Linked DNA regions of Macaca mulatta. The protein of the gene in region 2 purifies or fractionates together with the protein of the main gene of each other region. This does not show direct contact. Links are inferred from orthologs where the notes say so. Each region holds a gene or a part of one and is shown on either strand. Other genes may lie near its edges. The genes, in order: SQSTM1 and RIGI.

What was found.
Region 1: the proteins of RIGI (region 2) and SQSTM1 purify together in Homo sapiens (affinity purification with western blotting; 5 studies listed by BioGRID). This does not show direct contact. The link is inferred for Macaca mulatta from reciprocal best matches to the Homo sapiens genes RIGI and SQSTM1.

Annotation. Positions count from the first base shown.
Region 1 is NC_133411.1:188,801,818-188,810,478, forward strand, and holds the start of SQSTM1 (sequestosome-1), read left to right. Parts: upstream 1-3,434; 5' UTR 3,435-3,531; intron 3,532-4,114; coding exon of another isoform or gene 4,115-4,610; exon of another isoform or gene 4,611-4,887; intron 4,888-4,976; exon of another isoform or gene 4,977-5,214; intron 5,215-8,661. Other genes in the region: MGAT4B (alpha-1,3-mannosyl-glycoprotein 4-beta-N-acetylglucosaminyltransferase B), read right to left, coding at 1-66, 4,115-4,610. UniProt on the Homo sapiens protein: Molecular adapter required for selective macroautophagy (aggrephagy) by acting as a bridge between polyubiquitinated proteins and autophagosomes.
Region 2 is NC_133420.1:66,917,426-66,925,186, reverse strand, and holds the end of RIGI (antiviral innate immune response receptor RIG-I), read right to left. Parts: intron 7,135-7,761; exon of another isoform or gene 5,608-7,134; coding exon 5,464-5,607; exon of another isoform or gene 5,247-5,463; intron 3,001-5,246; coding exon 2,704-3,000; downstream 1-2,703.

The DNA.
Region 1 (8,661 bases), on a different chromosome or scaffold from region 2:
GCTCAGCTGCGTGCAACCGATCGCGCAGCGCCAGGAACTCCCGCTGGTAAACGTCCACAACGTCGCCTGCAGGTGGTACGCAAGCCGTTACGAGGGGGCAGTCTAGAGCCGCCCTAGGGCCCCTTTAGTGCCAGCGCACACATCTGGGTGCCCATCTGTGCAACAGCTCATTTACATCTGTTCTCGTGCCTGCCACACGTGAGACAGCTGGGGTCACTCTGAAATTACACTGACACGAATGCTTGTGGGGAGAAAACCAGGGGAATTTGCCCTCTTCCCGGGGTTATTTTATTCTCTGAGGAGGCGTCTGAAGTGGGAATTTCCAGACCTAGGTAGGTGGATCCTAAGCAAGGGCTGGAACAGCCTCAGACCGAAGCCGCTCTGTCCGTTGGCCTCCAAAGCCCACTCTTGCTTTTTGCAGCACATGCTCCTTCCAGGGCACGGGATACCCAAGGTCCTGGTGCTAGTTCTTCACTGTCCTCGTGGCAGTCGCTAGTTGCCCACCTTGCCCTGGATTGTTAGCCTCACAATGGCCCCGGGGGTGGCTGCTGCAGTTCCAGGAGCCCACCTCACTTCATTGCTCAAGGACAGTCAACAGCAGCGAGGGGACTAGCTCTGAATGCTCTGGTGCCTGTGTCTCTGGAGACCTGTGCTGTGCCTGGGGCACCCTGAAGGGTCCGCATGCCCCCCCAGGGGACCCATGTCAGAAGCTCCAGCTGGGCCCAGGCATGAGGGCTGTAGGCAGATGGGGCAGCACACAGGTAGGGCTGCCCGACAGTAGAGAGGCACCACCAGTCTGGCAGGGACCAGTGAGCAAGACTGAGATCAACAACCTCCCGGTGGCTGGGTGCCCACAGTCCCTGCGGAAGTACGCTCAAGGCCTCTGCCAGGCGAGCCTCTGAAAACCTATGTGGCCTGCAAGGCCTTATGTTTCCAAGTCTCCAAGTTTAAGACGCCTGACAGAACTCCCTCTACCCACAGATAGCTCTTCCATTCCTTGATCCTTGGTGGGTTCACAGACCCCAGAGTTCCGTGGGATGGCCTCACCCCGCCAGCGGCCCTGTGCATGATCAAGGTCATGATCAGGCAAAGTCCAGTCACCTCAGGACACACCCCTTTCCAAAGCAGAGGCAGGAGGTCGAAGTGCCAAGCGACCAGGGAATAGGAAGGGGTGGACCTGGGCAGGAGGGAAAGGTGTAAGGAGCAGGGAGCGAAGTGGATCTTCCCTGAGGCATCTCTTACCCAAGAAGCTAGCCCCCGCCCTCCCACACCCTGCCTCTCTGGGGCTAAGGCTGAGGCCAAGTGGAGCCTCTGGACAGGCCCTGGCGGGAGGGAAGGGGGAGTCAGATTACCGGATCTGCCAGGCTCCACGCTGGGCTCAGGGGCTAGGTTACCCTGGAAACCTGACCCTTTGAATGCAGAGCTGGCTACCCCCAACACTCACCCATTGCTGGGCGACACTGAGGTGTAGGCAGCGGTTGCCCACAGGGATGGGACTGGAGGTGCAGAGGCCTACAGAGCCATCAGGAGTGGGTTCAGAGCCACCTGCACCTGCAGGTGTGCCTCCCTCCTGCCTAGATGCCAGTCCCCGCTTGCCTACTTACAGCCACTGCCCATCCCCGAGCCCCACCCTGGCTTTCTCTGTCCCACATGACTGCCTCAGATGGACAGGCTGGGTGGGCAGTGGTGGGTGACGCTGCCTGAATCACCCTGGAAACAGCCTGCTCCTTACCCTGGCTTCCTTCCTAGGGGCCTCCCCTCTCCCCCAGGTCCTGTTTACCAGGAGGTAAAGGGACCCACGGGCTCCCACCTACACCAACCCTTCTGTCATTTCCCTTCACACTGCAGGCCCTGGCCCTGGGCAGCCTCCCCCGCCTGCCAGCTCCCCCACCCGCCTGGCCCTCAACTGTGCGTCGAACTCTGTGACTGCCTCCCCATGGGCCAGGCCCCATGCCAGGGCTCTGCCAAGCCATGCTGACATCCTCTAACCTTCAGGAGCTGGGGAGGCAGCTCAGGTGGAGAGGGGCCAGCCTGGGAGCCCCTGCCATACCTTCCTGCCTCAGGGCCACATTGTTAAGAACAGCAGCAATGAGGCCTGGAGGCTGTGTAACCCTCCCTGGAGGCGAGTCATTAGGACACCCTGAGGCCCGCAAACCACAGTTCCCCCTGCTTCCCTCTTGGTTGGGAAAAGATTAAAGAGCCAAGCTGGGGCACAACCTTTGTGCCCTGTATTCAGGGAAAAGGAACAGGATCAGAGGGGCATGGGCAGGTATCAGGCCGTTAACAGTCTGCTGTCACCATGCATGTGTGCGGCAGATGTCTGTCTCCTCTCCAGACCCTGCACCCTCCCAGGAGTCAAGGAGGGTGTCTGTCATTGCTGAGGTCCAGGCCTGGGGAGGAGGACAGCCTGGAGGCTGGGAGAGCTGTGTGGCTGAGACCCTGGGCCACCCGCAAGGGTCTGCCTCCCTGGGCAGATCCTCAGCAGGTGCTTGGCTGAAGGCCACAGTTTGAGTGCTGGCAGAGCTGCTCCACAGGCCAGATATGAAACTGGGCCCCAAACCCTTCTCCAGGGTCCATTTTGCATTAGTCTAAAGAGGCCGTCCTGGGCTTGACCTTGGGCTTCCAGGATGACGCCCGCACCTGCTGTCCTTCCTCTCTGGTTCCCTGCCCATCTCCTTCCTTCTCTGCAGATTCCACTTCCTGGGTTCTTCCCTCAAGTTCCTGGACCCCCGCTGGCTGCAAAGTGGAGGCCAGGTTCCAATTTGGCCTCAGACTGGCTAAGCCTGGTTTCGCCAGGGGCTTAAGACAGACTTTCTACATGTGACAATGAGATGGGTTCACATAATAGCCTGGATTCCTAGCTTCACTGAGTCACCACAGAAACAGTGACAGCCCCTCAACAAGGCAGGCCTAGGTCACCCCCTACTCATGCCTCACAGGATCCTTAGGCTTCCCTCCCCTAGGGGCTGGGTCCTTGAATCTAAGCGCTCCCCTTCTTAGCTCTCCTGTTCCCCAGGCCCTCAAAGAGCCAGCCTCCCGGATGCCCCCACGGAGCCAGCGCCTCTCCCTCACTCTGCTGTCCCGGAGACTGGCTCCCTGTGGTAAGCCAGGCTTGCAGAGGTGGCTCCTGACATCAATCTGGCGGCATGTGGCTGCTGTGGGAGACACACACTGGCTGAGGACAAAGGGCAAGGGCTCATGGCTCTACCCACGACTGGAAGAGTGTGCCCCAGCCCTTCAGATAAGGCCCCACCTAGGCCTTCATGCCAGTCTGCTAGTCACCCTGCCAAGGACCCAGAATGTCCTTCCCCAGGTGACACACCCTACCTACAGATAATTCTGCCCCAGTCATGCCTGCCCTTGATAATATACGCCACCACCGGGGCCTCTGCCCCAGCCCTCCCTCCCCTGTCCTGCAGTCTCCCCGCAGAGTCCCTGGGTGATGGGGCTCTGGCCCTGGAGCCCCAAGGCCAGCCCAGGCCTCTGCTCTGACAGAACAAGTGCGGCAGGCGGGCGCGCTGGCAGAGCTCGGTGAGGGTAGCTGAGGCTCGGAAGGTCCGGAAGGGTCCAGGTCCTCCCAGCCTCCTCAGCCTCTCTGGGGTGGCGCTCCGGGACAGGGAAACAGGGAAGCAGGTGGCAGGGAGGCCAAGGGGGCAGGTAGCCTCAGCCCGCTTAGGCCTCCAGCAGGCAGGCAGGCAGGAGGCCACTCTCCCAGAACCTCCAGGCTAGGGGAAGAGCGCCTCGGAGGGCTCAGGCCCTACTCGGCCCCACCATCGCCAAGACCGGTCAGGGGGGCGGGGGGCGGGGGGTCGGTCTGCACCCTCCGCCTGCAAGAGCGCTGGGCGGACGCGGAGGGCGGGGGCCAGCCCGGGAAGCTCGGGGTGCGGGGGAGGGGCTGGGGCCGCACAGGAGCGCAGGGCAGCAGTGGCCGGGCTGGCTCAGGACGCCTCTCCCTCCCTCCCCCGCTCCCATAGGCCGGATGCTGCCGAGGCGTTCCGGGCGCCCGGGGGTCGGCGAGGGAGACCCAGGACCGGGTGTCACGCCGGGGTCGCCCAGGCCGGCGCGGGGCTGCGGGAGGCAGGGTCGGGGGAGGGCGGGTGGGGGGATGCCTGACCGCCTAGCGGTGCCCTCGCGCCTGTGTCCCTCACGCCGGCCCAGGTCCTGCCCAAGTGGCTGTGGCTGGCGTTCCGGGACCTCTGTGACCTTGGGTCTGTGCCGAGACCCCCACGGGTCCCCAGCTCAGCTGCGCCCGCGGAGTCCGGTCCGGGGCACCCACGGGCGCGGCCAGCGCTGGGCGGGCAGGCGCAGCCCGGGCCCGAGGAGGACGCCGCGGCTCCAGCAGCAAACAAGTGGGGGAGGGTGGGAGGGGCGTCCTCCGCGCCGCCCGGGCGGGGAAGGGGCGCCTGCGTCGGCTTCCGGCCGCCTCCCGCGGCCACCGCCGGGCCCGCTCCCGCCGCCGACGCCCAGGTGCGCCAGGTGCGGGCCGGGCCGGTCGGGCGGGGGTCGCGCTTACCTTTCTGGCCGCTGAGTGCCGCGTACCAGGACAGCGAGAGGAAGGCGCACAGGCAGAAGAGCAGCAGCGTCAGGAAGGTGCCATTGCGGAGCCTCATCTCCTCCGATGCGCGGCGGGCGCCCGCGGGGCCGAGGCTGCATGGCCCGGGGAACCGGGGCCGGGGCGCAGGGGTCGGAAGGCGGCGGCTGCAGGGGCCCCGGCCCCGGGGCGGGGAGGGGCGGGGGGGCCGGGGCCGGGCAGGGACCGGGCCGGGGAGCGCGCCTGCCGCTTCTCAGGGCGCAAGCTTTGTGCCCTGTACTCAGGGAAAAGGAACAGGCTCAGAGGAGCAGAGGCAGATATCAGGCTCACTGCAGGTATCAGGGGCGCGGGACACTGGCGGCCTCGCCTCCGCGGCAGGGCCGGGCCAGGCCGGGCTGGGCTGGGCTGGGCGGCGAGAGCCGCGGCCCGGCCTGGATCTGGGGCCTGGATCTGGGGCCGCCGCGGAGTCGACGGCGCAGGGCGGGGCGGCCCGGATTTAAAGGGGCCGCAGCACCGCCGCCGCCAGCGCCGCGAGGGGCGGGGTGGGGGCCGGCGCCCGTGATCCCGACCGGCTCCCGCAGCCCCGCTTGGGCTCGTGCGAGTCGGCCTTAGGTAAGGCCGGAGTGGGAGTGCGGGTCGACCGCAGCCGGCGCGGGCGGCGGGGGCGGCGCTCTCGGGCCCAGGTACTCTTCTCGGCAACATCTCCTCCGCGCGCGGACCCCGACCCCACTCGCACGTTCTCTGGGCTGTTTCCCGAGCGTGAGGGGCTCTGGGTGGCGCGGGGGACTGGGCGCTTGGAGGGGACTGGGCGCTTGGAGCCGGGAGCCACCGTTGCCTTCGGCGCCGCCCAGGGCGCTTTCCCGCTCAGGAGCTTCCTCTGGGGCGCGGGACTGAGACGCACAGGGGCCCGGGAGGCGGGAACAATGGGCCGTTCTAGGGGGAATCAGGGCCAATGCTCGTGGGTGCAGAGGAATGACCAGCCCAGAACCGGACCGGCTTCCCGGGACAGTGGCGGCCCAAGCGCGCCGCTTACGGGAGCAACGGGCCCTGCTCCCGGTGGTGCAGCGGCCACCTCGCCCCGCGCAGCCCAGCCGGCTCTTGATAGGGGCCCACGCCTTCGGATTTTTGTGGGTTTTTTTTTTTGAGACAGAGTCTCGCTCTGTCGCCCAGGCTGGAGTGCAATGGCGCGATCTCGGCTCACTGCGATCTCAGCCTCCGGAGTAGCCGGGATTACAGGCGCCCGGCTAATTTTTTTTCTTTCTTTTTTTTTTTTTTTAAGACTTTGGGCAGCGCCTGGCCCGCTCCCAGCTTGGACCTCCCAGTCCTAGGGGCCCGGTTCCGGGTGGAGGCTGCAGGGACCTCTGCCCCGCCCGCTCGGGGGAGGCCTGAGGGGCTGGACTCAGACTGGGAGTGAATGCAGCTTTGTCTTCCTAGTCCAGCCCCGGCCCACACCTGGGGCTGGGTGGAATCGGGAGCTTCTACGGGTCTGGACAATTCTCCCACAGAGAGATTGATGCCAAGAAGTGGGTGGCCGAGCCAGAGGCCGAGGTGGGCTGGATCCTGAGGCCCAGTGTTAAAGGACAGGGCTCCCCATTCAGTGCTCCTGGAACATTCCGAACTAGAGACTGGGACTTGTAGGCGCCTTCTAGAGGAAACTCGTGTTTTCACAGGTGTCTTCTATGTGTGGCAAAGGATAATGGCTTTTCACTTAGGCTGTGGCATAAAGGGCCTTAGAAATTGTTAATGAGTTACTTAACGTTAAAACTTAGTCACCCAGGCCCGGTGTGGTGGCTCATGCCTGTAATCCCAGCACTTTGAGAAGCTAAGGCGGGAGGATCATTTGAGCTCACCAGTTCGAGACCAACCTGGGCAACATAGTGACACCTCATCTCTATAAAATTAAAATTTTTTAAACAATTGTTTTTGGATTTTTTTTGGTAATTTTTAAAATATTTATTTATTTATTTATTTTTGAGACAGAGTCTTGCCTTGTCGCCCAGGCTGGAGTGCAGTGGCCTGATCTAGACTGACTGCAAGCTCCACCTCCCGGGTTCATGCCATTCTCCTGCCTCAGGCTCCCGAGTAGCTGGGACTACAGGCCAATGGCACCACACCCGGCTAATGTTTTGTATTTTTTAGTAGAGACGGGGTTTCACCATGTTAGCCAGGATGGTCTCGATCTCCTGACCTCGTGATCCACCTGCTTCAGCCTCCCAAAGTGGTGGGATTACAGGTGTGAGCCACCACGCCCGGCCTTTTTTGTTTTGTTTTTAAAGATGGAGTCTCGCTCTGTTGCCCAGGCTGGAGTGCAGTGGCATAATCTCGACTCACTGCAACTTCTGCCTCCCAGGTTCAAGGAATTCTCCTGCCTCATCCTCCTAAGTAGCTGGGATTACAGGCGCGCCCCACCACACCCAGCTAATTTTTTTGTAGTTTTAGTAGAGGTGGGGTTTCACCATGTTGGTCAGTCTGGTCTCAAACTCTTGACCTCGTGATCCACCCACATTGGCCTCCCAAAGTACTGGGATTACAGGCATGAGCCACCGTGCCTGGCCTTTTTTTTTTTTTTTTTGAAACGGAATCTTGCTCCGTGGCCCAGGCTGGAGTGCAGTCAGGCAATCTTGGCTCACTGCAACCTCCGCCTCCTGAGTTCAAGCGATTCTCCTGCCTCACCTGCCTGAGTAGCTGGGATTACAGGCATATGCCACCATGCCCAGCTAATTTTTGTATTTTTAGCAGAGACAGGCTTTCACCATGTTGGTCAGACTGGTCTCGAACTCCTGACCTCAGGTGATCCGCCTGCCTCAGCCTCCCAAAGTGCTGGGATTACAGGTGTGAGCCACCAGGGGCGCCCAACCTAATTTTTGTATTTTTAGTAGAGATGGGGTTTCACCATGTTGGCCAGGTTGGTCTCCAACTCCTGACCTCAGGTGATCCGCCTGCCTCGGCCTCCCAGAGTGCTGGGATTACAGGCGTGAGCGTGCCGGGCCAACAATTTTTTTTTTATTTTAATTTTAATTTATTTTTATTTTTTATTATACTTTAAGTTCTAGGGTACATGTGCACAACATGCAGGTTTGTTATGTATGTATACATGTGCCATGTTGGTGTGCTGTACCCATTAACTCATCATTTACATTAGGTGTATCTCCTAATGCTATCCCTCCCCCCTCCCCCCACCCCACGACAGGCCCTGGTGTGTGATGTTCCCCTACCTATGTCCAAGTGATCTCATTGTTCAACTCCCACCTAAGAGTGAGAACATGCGGTGTTTGGTTTTCTGTCCTTATGATAGTTTGCTCAGAATGACGTTTTCCAGCTTCATCTATGTCCCTACAAAGGACATGAACTCATCCTTTTTTATGGCTGCATAGGATTCCATGGTGTATATGTGCCACATTTTCTTAATCCAGTCTGTCACTGATGGACATCTGGGTTGGTTCCAAGTCTTTGCTATTGTGAATAGTGCCGCAATAAACATATGTGGGCATGTGTCTTTATACCTGCATTATTTATAATCCCTTGGGTATATACCCAGTAATGGGATGGCTGGGTCAAATGGTATTTCTAGTTCTAGATCATTGAGGAATCACCACACCGTCTTCCACAATGGTTGAACTAGTTTACAGTCCCACCGACAGTGTAAAAGTGTTCCTATTTCTCCTTATCCTCTCCAGCACCTGTTGTTTCCTGACTTTTTAATGATAGCCATTCGAACTGGTGTGAGATGGTATCTCATTGTAGTTTTGATTTGCATTTCTCTGATGGCCAGTGATGATGAACATTTTTTCATGTGTCTGCGGGCCAACAATTATTATTATTATTTTTTTTTTTTGAGATGGAGTCTCGCTCTGTCACCCAGGCTGGAGCCCAGTGGCGCTATCTCGCCTCCTGAAAGCTCCGCCTCCCGGGTTCACGCCATTCTCCTGCCTCAGCCTCCTGAGTAGTTGTGACTACAGGCCCCGCCACCATGCCCGGCTAATTTTTTATATTTTTAGTAGAGAGGGGGTTTCACCGTGGTCTCTATCTCCTGACCTCGTGATCGCCCCGCCTCGGCGTCCCAAAGTGCTGGGATTACAAGCGTGAGCCACTGCACTTGGCCAGGCCAACAATTTTTTTAAGGGGAAAAA
Region 2 (7,761 bases):
GGGTGAAAATATCACAGCATCAGCACAGGCCAGGACTGCAGAGATAACAAGGTGGTGGTTGTATAACAGGTGGTGTCTCAACCACAGGAGCTTCAAAACATGCACATGGCTGGACACCCTGCCAGGATGCTGTAATGGGGCTGGGCATGTGTCCATGAAGAAGACTCCCCAGTTGTTTCTAAAATGTGGCCTTTGGTCTAGAAATGCAATGACCAGCATTTGGGAGTCAGTCAAGAGATCCACTTCCTAAAAGCCTACCTACTCATCTCTTTCATTCAATACATGTTAACCAAGTGCCTACTTTGTTTGAGTCCATGCCTGGCAATGACATTATTCTATTAAAAGTCAAACAAGGAAATGCTAAGTTTTCCTTATTTCACTTCAGTCTGCCTGCCTCCGTTGGCTGAAGAGGGCTATTCACCTTCATCCAAATTGAATCATTTACACACTTAAAAGAACTTTTCTTGGCCAGTTATGGTGGCTTATGCCTGTAATCCCAACACTGTGGGAGGCCGAGGCAAGTGGATCACTTGAGGTCAGGAGTTCAAGATCAGCCTGGCCAACATGGTGAAACCCTGACTCCACTAAAAATAATAAAAATTAGCCGGGTGTGGTGGCAGGTGCCCGTACCCAGCTACTTGGGAGGCTGAGGCAGGAGAATCACTTGAACCCAGAAGGCAGAGATTGCAGTGAGCCGAGATCACACCACTATACTCCAACCTGGGCAACAGAGTGAGACTCCATCTCAAAAAAAATTTTTTTTTCTCTTATTAAATCTATTTCTGGTAGATGTTTTACACATCCTATTGGAGTTCTTAAACAGTAGTGTATTAGTCCATTTTCACACTGCTATAAAGAACTGCCTGAGACTGGGTAATTTATAAAGAAAAGAGGTTTAATAGACTCACAGTTACACATGGCTGAGGAGGCCTCAGGAAACTTACAATCATGGCAGAAGGGGAAGTAGGCACGTCTTACATGGCAGCAGATGAGAGAGAAAGTGTGTGTGTAAAGGAGGAATTGTCAAACACTTATAAAACCATCAGCTCTTATGAGAACTCACTATCCCAAGAACAGCATGGGGACAACTGCCCCCGTGATCTAATCACCTCCCATCAGGTCCCTCCCTTGACGCATGGGGATTATAATTCAAGATGAGATTTGGGTGGGGACACAGAGCCAAACCATATCAAATAGCAATTAAAAAAACAGTCACATAAGAAAAGACATTCTTAATAAAATACAAATGGAAAATGAAAAAAAAATCAACTCATAAACTTGGTTTAAATAATCAAATTGTATTGGATCTTAGTAAGAATACTGCTACTAGTAATTATTATCAAGCAACTACTGTGTCATGTACATTTCACACATTCTTTTAATTAAAAACTCTCCACTAACCCTTACAGTTCAGTATTATCCTTGTTTTATAGATGAAGAAAAGCCAAAGAGAAGTTATATAACTGGCAAGTTTCTCTGGCTCCCTGCCTGCACCATTGCTCACTAGATTGCATGGAGAGGGAGGCGGCTGGAACACCTCATCCCGTTGATCTCCAGGGAACTCAGGCACTTGCTTCCATGTCTAGAAAAACCGCAAACTAAGCTCTTTGAAGCATGAGCAAACCTTGCTAAGTGACACATGAATGCCATTTGGATACATATTCTAATCTTTCAAGTAGAAAGGACAGTCAGACTGCCTCACCTGTAACATCCAAGGGATCTGAGAACAGACATTCAGTCCAGGTGTTGAACATCAACCATTAAAGGAAAATCGTCAAAGAGAACAATGGCACATATTAAGAGAACATATTAATAGGGCAAGATATATAGTAAACTAAGTTTTCAAGAAATATTTTATCATTTTTATGCTCACTACTAAAAGCTGTCCACTGTAGAGTGGACACACATTGCTACATACAGCAACTCTAGAGTGGACAGCTTTTAGTAGTGAGCATAAAAATGGCTTTATGTACTCATGTTCTCTGTGTAGCCGTACCACATGTTGCTACACAGGGAACATGAGTACATATAACCATTACATATACATACCTGTATGTATGTATAATAGTTATATATACATATTTACAGTATATACATGTATATATATTGAACCCTTGGAATTACCAACCCTTAAGGGATCAGCAAAGAGGAGGACTCAATAAAAAAGACTAGACTAGAACTAGAAGAGAGAAGAGCCCAGGGACAGTTTCAAGAAGAGTGCTCAACAGGGCCAAATGTGCAGAAGTCAAATAGAAGGTCAAGAAGTGCCCAGTGGATTTGGCAACCAGAGTCACTGGTAACCTTCAAAAGAACAATTTCAGTAGATTGTTAATGGCAAAAGCCAATGTACAGTAGGTTAAGGAGAAAAAAGGAGATAAAAATTCCCAACATTCCATTCATTCATCTATCCCGGTGTGTACAGAGTGATTACTGTGTGTTTGTTGGCAGTTACTCTAAAAAGAAAGCTAGAAATGAGGCTTTTAAATTTTTCCCAAGTACTAAGAGCTCTGTTGGCCTACAAAATATTCAGTGCTGTGATTCACTCGTGTGCTTTGCATATATAATATAATACAAACTGTTAAAGATATTTTTAAAAAAATATTTTCACAGGCGTACAAGCGATCCATGATTATACCCACTATGTTTGTTTCTTCTCCACTCAAAGTTACTCATTCCCTGTAGCTGAAGATTGAGGCCCTGATATCATTTGGCCATTTCTGCTGGATCAAATGGTATCTTCTCAAAATGAAAGTCCTTCCACTTCGAGTACAGTGTCTGAACTCCAGTTGCAATATCCTCCACCACAAAACTTTCAATTTTTATAACTGGAATCTCAAATGTCTTGTACTTCATATGGATTCCCCAGTCATGGCTGCAGTTCTGTCGGGCACAGAATATCTTTTCTCTTTTATCAAAATTTGAAAACTTCTTTGGCTTGGGATGTGGTCTCCTCACAAAGCATTCCTTAAAAGCATCTCCAAGCACAGTGTAATGGCATTCCTACAGATAAAGGGATGGAATAACACACAAAAGAGAACATTAGAACCAGTACATAATTGTGATTAAAAAAAAAAAAAAGAGAACTCCACAATAATCTGAGATGAAGAATAGGTGGGTCTCACTTATTTTATTGGAGGAAAACAAATATGGATTCACCTGAAGTCCAGAGGACGATCCATGCACCTGACTCCCTTCTACAGGCAGGGTAGTGTTGCAAGTGAGGACACTGGGCACCTCATAGAGAGGAAGATTAAGAAAGACCCAGGTAACCCAGCTTCTGAAGGTAGATACTTATTATTCAAAAACACAAGCGATGTTTGTTGAAAATCTGTGAAGCTGAAGTTCACCAGTGGCCCTAGCAGGCACAATCCAAAGGATACAGGGAAAATGACCAAGGTCAAGGTGCAATTGAAGAAGGTCAGGGACTAACGTGTTCACAGGCCCCACCTAGAGTCAACTTTAGAGTAAACGGCTCAAACAAATGCAGATCCAACATACTAGTCCCTCAGGAAAACATAGGGTCTAAAAGGGCCATTTTTAGTAGAATAATCACCCAAATTGGAGCTAAAAGGACCTTTTACGCTAAAGAAGCAGACTTAGAAAGGTAAGGGAACTTAGCAATATGACTCCTAATATGCTTTTTGCCCAAACAGCTGAGCTGATGAGAGATTTCTGCTTTCTGAAGATGAATGGAACACCCTGAAGTAATAACTCCTCATCTGAGCCAGCCCAGCCCCTCCACCGTAACCCCACATGCAAGACAGTTATACCCCACATTTCTCTTTGGAGATTTTTCTAACCCTTTTTCTGAAAGTTTTAAGAACAAAATATAAGGCTGCAATAGAAAGCCAACCTTCAGATGTCACATTTTACAAATAAGGATATATTTTCTTCATTATAGAAGTGATCCATAGCCCAAAAGGAATGTTTGGAAAACATAAAGTACTAGGGAAAGAGAAAAAGATCATGGAATCTCACCACCAAAATATTAATACATTTTGGTATAGTTCCCCTAGCCTTTGTTTTTCTGTAGAAAGGTAAGTTTTTTGACTTTTTCTTGACAGTGACAATGGTATTTGCTGCTGTTTCACACAGCTATAAAGTAGCATCTTTATAATTTTGTGTTCTGGTTACTTTTTTCCACATTAGTTTGTAAGCAGTTTTTCATTATACTACATAAACTTCATAATCTTTAAAATAAACTTTACTTTGGAACAATTTTAGATTTACAGAAAAATTGCAAAGATATCCCAGAAAATTTCTGCATACCCTTTGCCCAGTTTCCCCAAATGCTAACATTTCATATACCACAGTACATTTGTCAAAACCAAGATATTAACATCAGTACATTACTATTATCTAAACTACAGATTTTACCACTCTTTCTCTAGTCATATCCTTTATCTGTTCTAGGAGCTAATCCAGGACACTTCATTGCATGTAGCATGCCTTTTTTTTTTTTTTTTTTTTGAGACAGAGTCTTGCTCTGTCACCCAGGCTAGAGTGCAGTGGTGCGACATCAGCTCACTGCAACCTCCGCCTCCCGGGTTCAAGTGATTCTCCTGCCTCAGCCTCCTGAGTAGCTGGGATTACAGGTGCCCACCACCATGCCCAGCTTATTTTTGTATTTTTAGTAGAGAGAGGGTTTTGCCATGTTGGCCAGGCTGGTCTCGAACTCCTGACCTCAGGTGATCCACCTGCCTCAAAGTACTGGGATTACAGGCATGAGCCACCATGCTCGGCCTGACCACTTTAATGGCTTTTTTTTAAATGGCTGTGTAATATTAAGTGGCTGTACAGCAATGTTTTAAAACTATTTTTTTCTTTTTTTGAGCCAGGGTCTTACTCTGTCATCCAGACTAGAGTGCAGTGGTGCAATCATGGCTTACTGCAGCCTTGATCTCTCAAGTTCAAACAATCAGCCCACCTAGCCTTCTGAGTAGCTGGAACTACAGGCTCTTGCTACCATGCCCAGCTTTTTTTTTTTTTTTAAATTTTTTTTTTGTGACAGAGTCTCTCTGTCACCTGGGCTGGAGTGGAATGGCGTGATTTTGGCTCACTGCAACCTCTGCCTCCTGGGTTCAAGCAATTCTCCTGCCTCAGCCTCCCGAGTAGCTAAGATTACAGCCGCCTGCCCCTACGCCCAGCTAATTTTTGTATTTTTAGTAGAGACAGGGTTTCATCATGTTGGCCGGGCTGGTCTCGAACTCCTGACCTTGTGATTTACCCAACTCGGCCTCCCAAAGTGTTTGGATTACAGGTGTGAGCCACTATGCCTGGCCAAAAACTATTTATTATTGAACATTTAGTATTTCTTTTTCACTTCTTAGCTTTTTTTCAAATACACAGATCATGGCCATAATAGCAATGGAAATAATAGAGTTTTACTATAAATATTTCACCGACAGTAAGCTTTAGCTAGTGCTAAAACATGACCAGGCACTTTGTAAAAAGGCAGCTTACCTCTATCACTCTTATGTCAGCTGTGTAACATACCAAGGCTTTGCACTTTCCGCAGAGCAGTTTTTTATTTTCCTTATCAGGTACAGGTTTTGGTTTTTCTTGACTATCTCTGATTAATTTTTCATGAGTCTGTATATGCAGAATCTAATGCAAAAATAAAGACCTCAAATATAATTTAACACATATAGAGAGAAACAGGCACAGATAGATATATACATATACATGCACATATACAATCATTCATATACAACTTCCATGAACATATGGTACCTGACTTGGTAAAATCACAGATTTTATTGGTTCTCCTAACTTAATATTAGTCAATGTTTAATTGTGGCCTCCAACTAGTCTTTCAATTTCTTCATCAAAAATGCTCATAAAAGCACTAAAGATGTCCATAGAATAGTCATATGAACCATGCTTTCTACTTTAGTGTTTTGCAAAACTTGAAAAAAAGCAAAACCTGTACCAGATATACAATATGCACTGTTTCAGGCATAATTATATCCATTTGCAGGCACAAACCCAATGAGTGATACAGCAGGCAGAAGAGCCCCTGATACGGTTTGGCTGTATCCTTACCCAAATCTCAACTTGAATTGTTTTCATCTTCCAGAATTCCCGTGTGTTATGGGACGGACCCAGGGAGAGGTAATTGAATCATGGGGGCCAGTCTTTCCTGTGCTATTCTTATGATAGTGAATAAGTCTCCCGAGATCTGATGAGTTTATCAGGGGTTTCCACTTTTGCTTCTTCCTCATTTTTCTCCTGCTGCTGCCATGTAAGAAGTGCCTTCTGCCTCCCACCATGATTCTGAGGCCTCCCCAGCCATGTGGAACTGTAAGTCCAATTAAACCTCTTTGTTTTCCCAATCTCAGGTATGTCTTTGTCAGTGGTATAAAAACAGACTAATACAGCCCTCAACATCTAAAACCTTTTTTCTCTCTCCCCTTCAGCCACAGGGAATATTGTTGCATATGTGTAGTATGATTTTATTCTAATTCAAAATCTAGTCCTTGGCTAAGAACATGGTCCAACTTAGAACCATGGACATGATAGTATAAAACTCTTCATACCAATAAATAGATCTCAAACTGAATGAAAAAAAAAATCATAGATGCCAACACTGAGATGAGAAAGATTTTAAAGCCCCTAATAAAGATGCTTCGATGGACAGTTATAAATACTTTTGAAACATAAAGAGAAAACATAAAGGTTCAACAATGAAATGGAAGACAAAGTTTAGAACTGAAAGATACAACCAAAATAAAAAGGTCAATGGATGGGCTTTCCGTGGCAGAATGGAAGGGACAAAGAAAAGAGTCAGTGATCTGAAAGAACAACAGAAATTACCCAATCTAAACAACAACAAAATACACTGGGGGGGGGGGGGGAAGCAAAGTCTCAAGGACCTGTAGGACTATAAAAAACGATGTCATGGCACTGGAGTTCTGCAAGGAGAGAAGAGCAGGGCTTAAAAAGTATTCAAAGAAATAACAGCCAAATATATCCCAAATTTAACAAGCTACATCAACCAAGATTCAAGAAGCTGAACAAGCTCCAAACAGGATAAACACCTTCAAAAAACACTCTGAGACACGTTATAATTAAACTTATGAAAACTGAAGAAAAAAATCTTGAAAGCAGTCAGAGGAAAAAAAAAAAGAAAAAGACATCTTACCCATAGGGGGAAATCAGTCTGAATAACAGGAGATTTGTCATTAGAAACAATGGAGGCTACCTGGAAGTGGCACAATATTTTTTAAATGCTGAAAGAAAAGAACAGTCCATCCCAGAACCCTAGACTCAGCAAGATGCCACCTTCAAAAATAAGGAAGAAATGAAGACATTCTCAGATGAAGGAACACTGAGAATCTGTCATCAGCAGATTTACCCTAAAATATTGGCTAAAGGAAGTTTTCTAAACAGAGGAAATGATAAAAGGAACCCTGAAACATCATGAAGGAAGAAAGAACACAGATTTCCTCCATGTCTTCTATGGAAGATTCTGTCCGTCCCACTGGTTTATGGTGGCGCCTCTCTATATCAGACTATGCTTTCAAGTGTCCCAGGTGGATCCAGACAGCCTAGATGCAAATAGCGTCCCTGTCACTTAGCAGCTACGTCATTTTGGGCAAGCGCCTCGTTTCTTTACATACAAAATGGGACGATAGCATCTGCTTCATGGACTGTCAGGAGATAACATGAGCTTATGACTGCTCAGGCCTGCCCAGCACAGGGTAAATGCCCATCAGCGTTGCCTCCCTCTGTTAGGCTAGTCTTATGCTAAGAGCCATG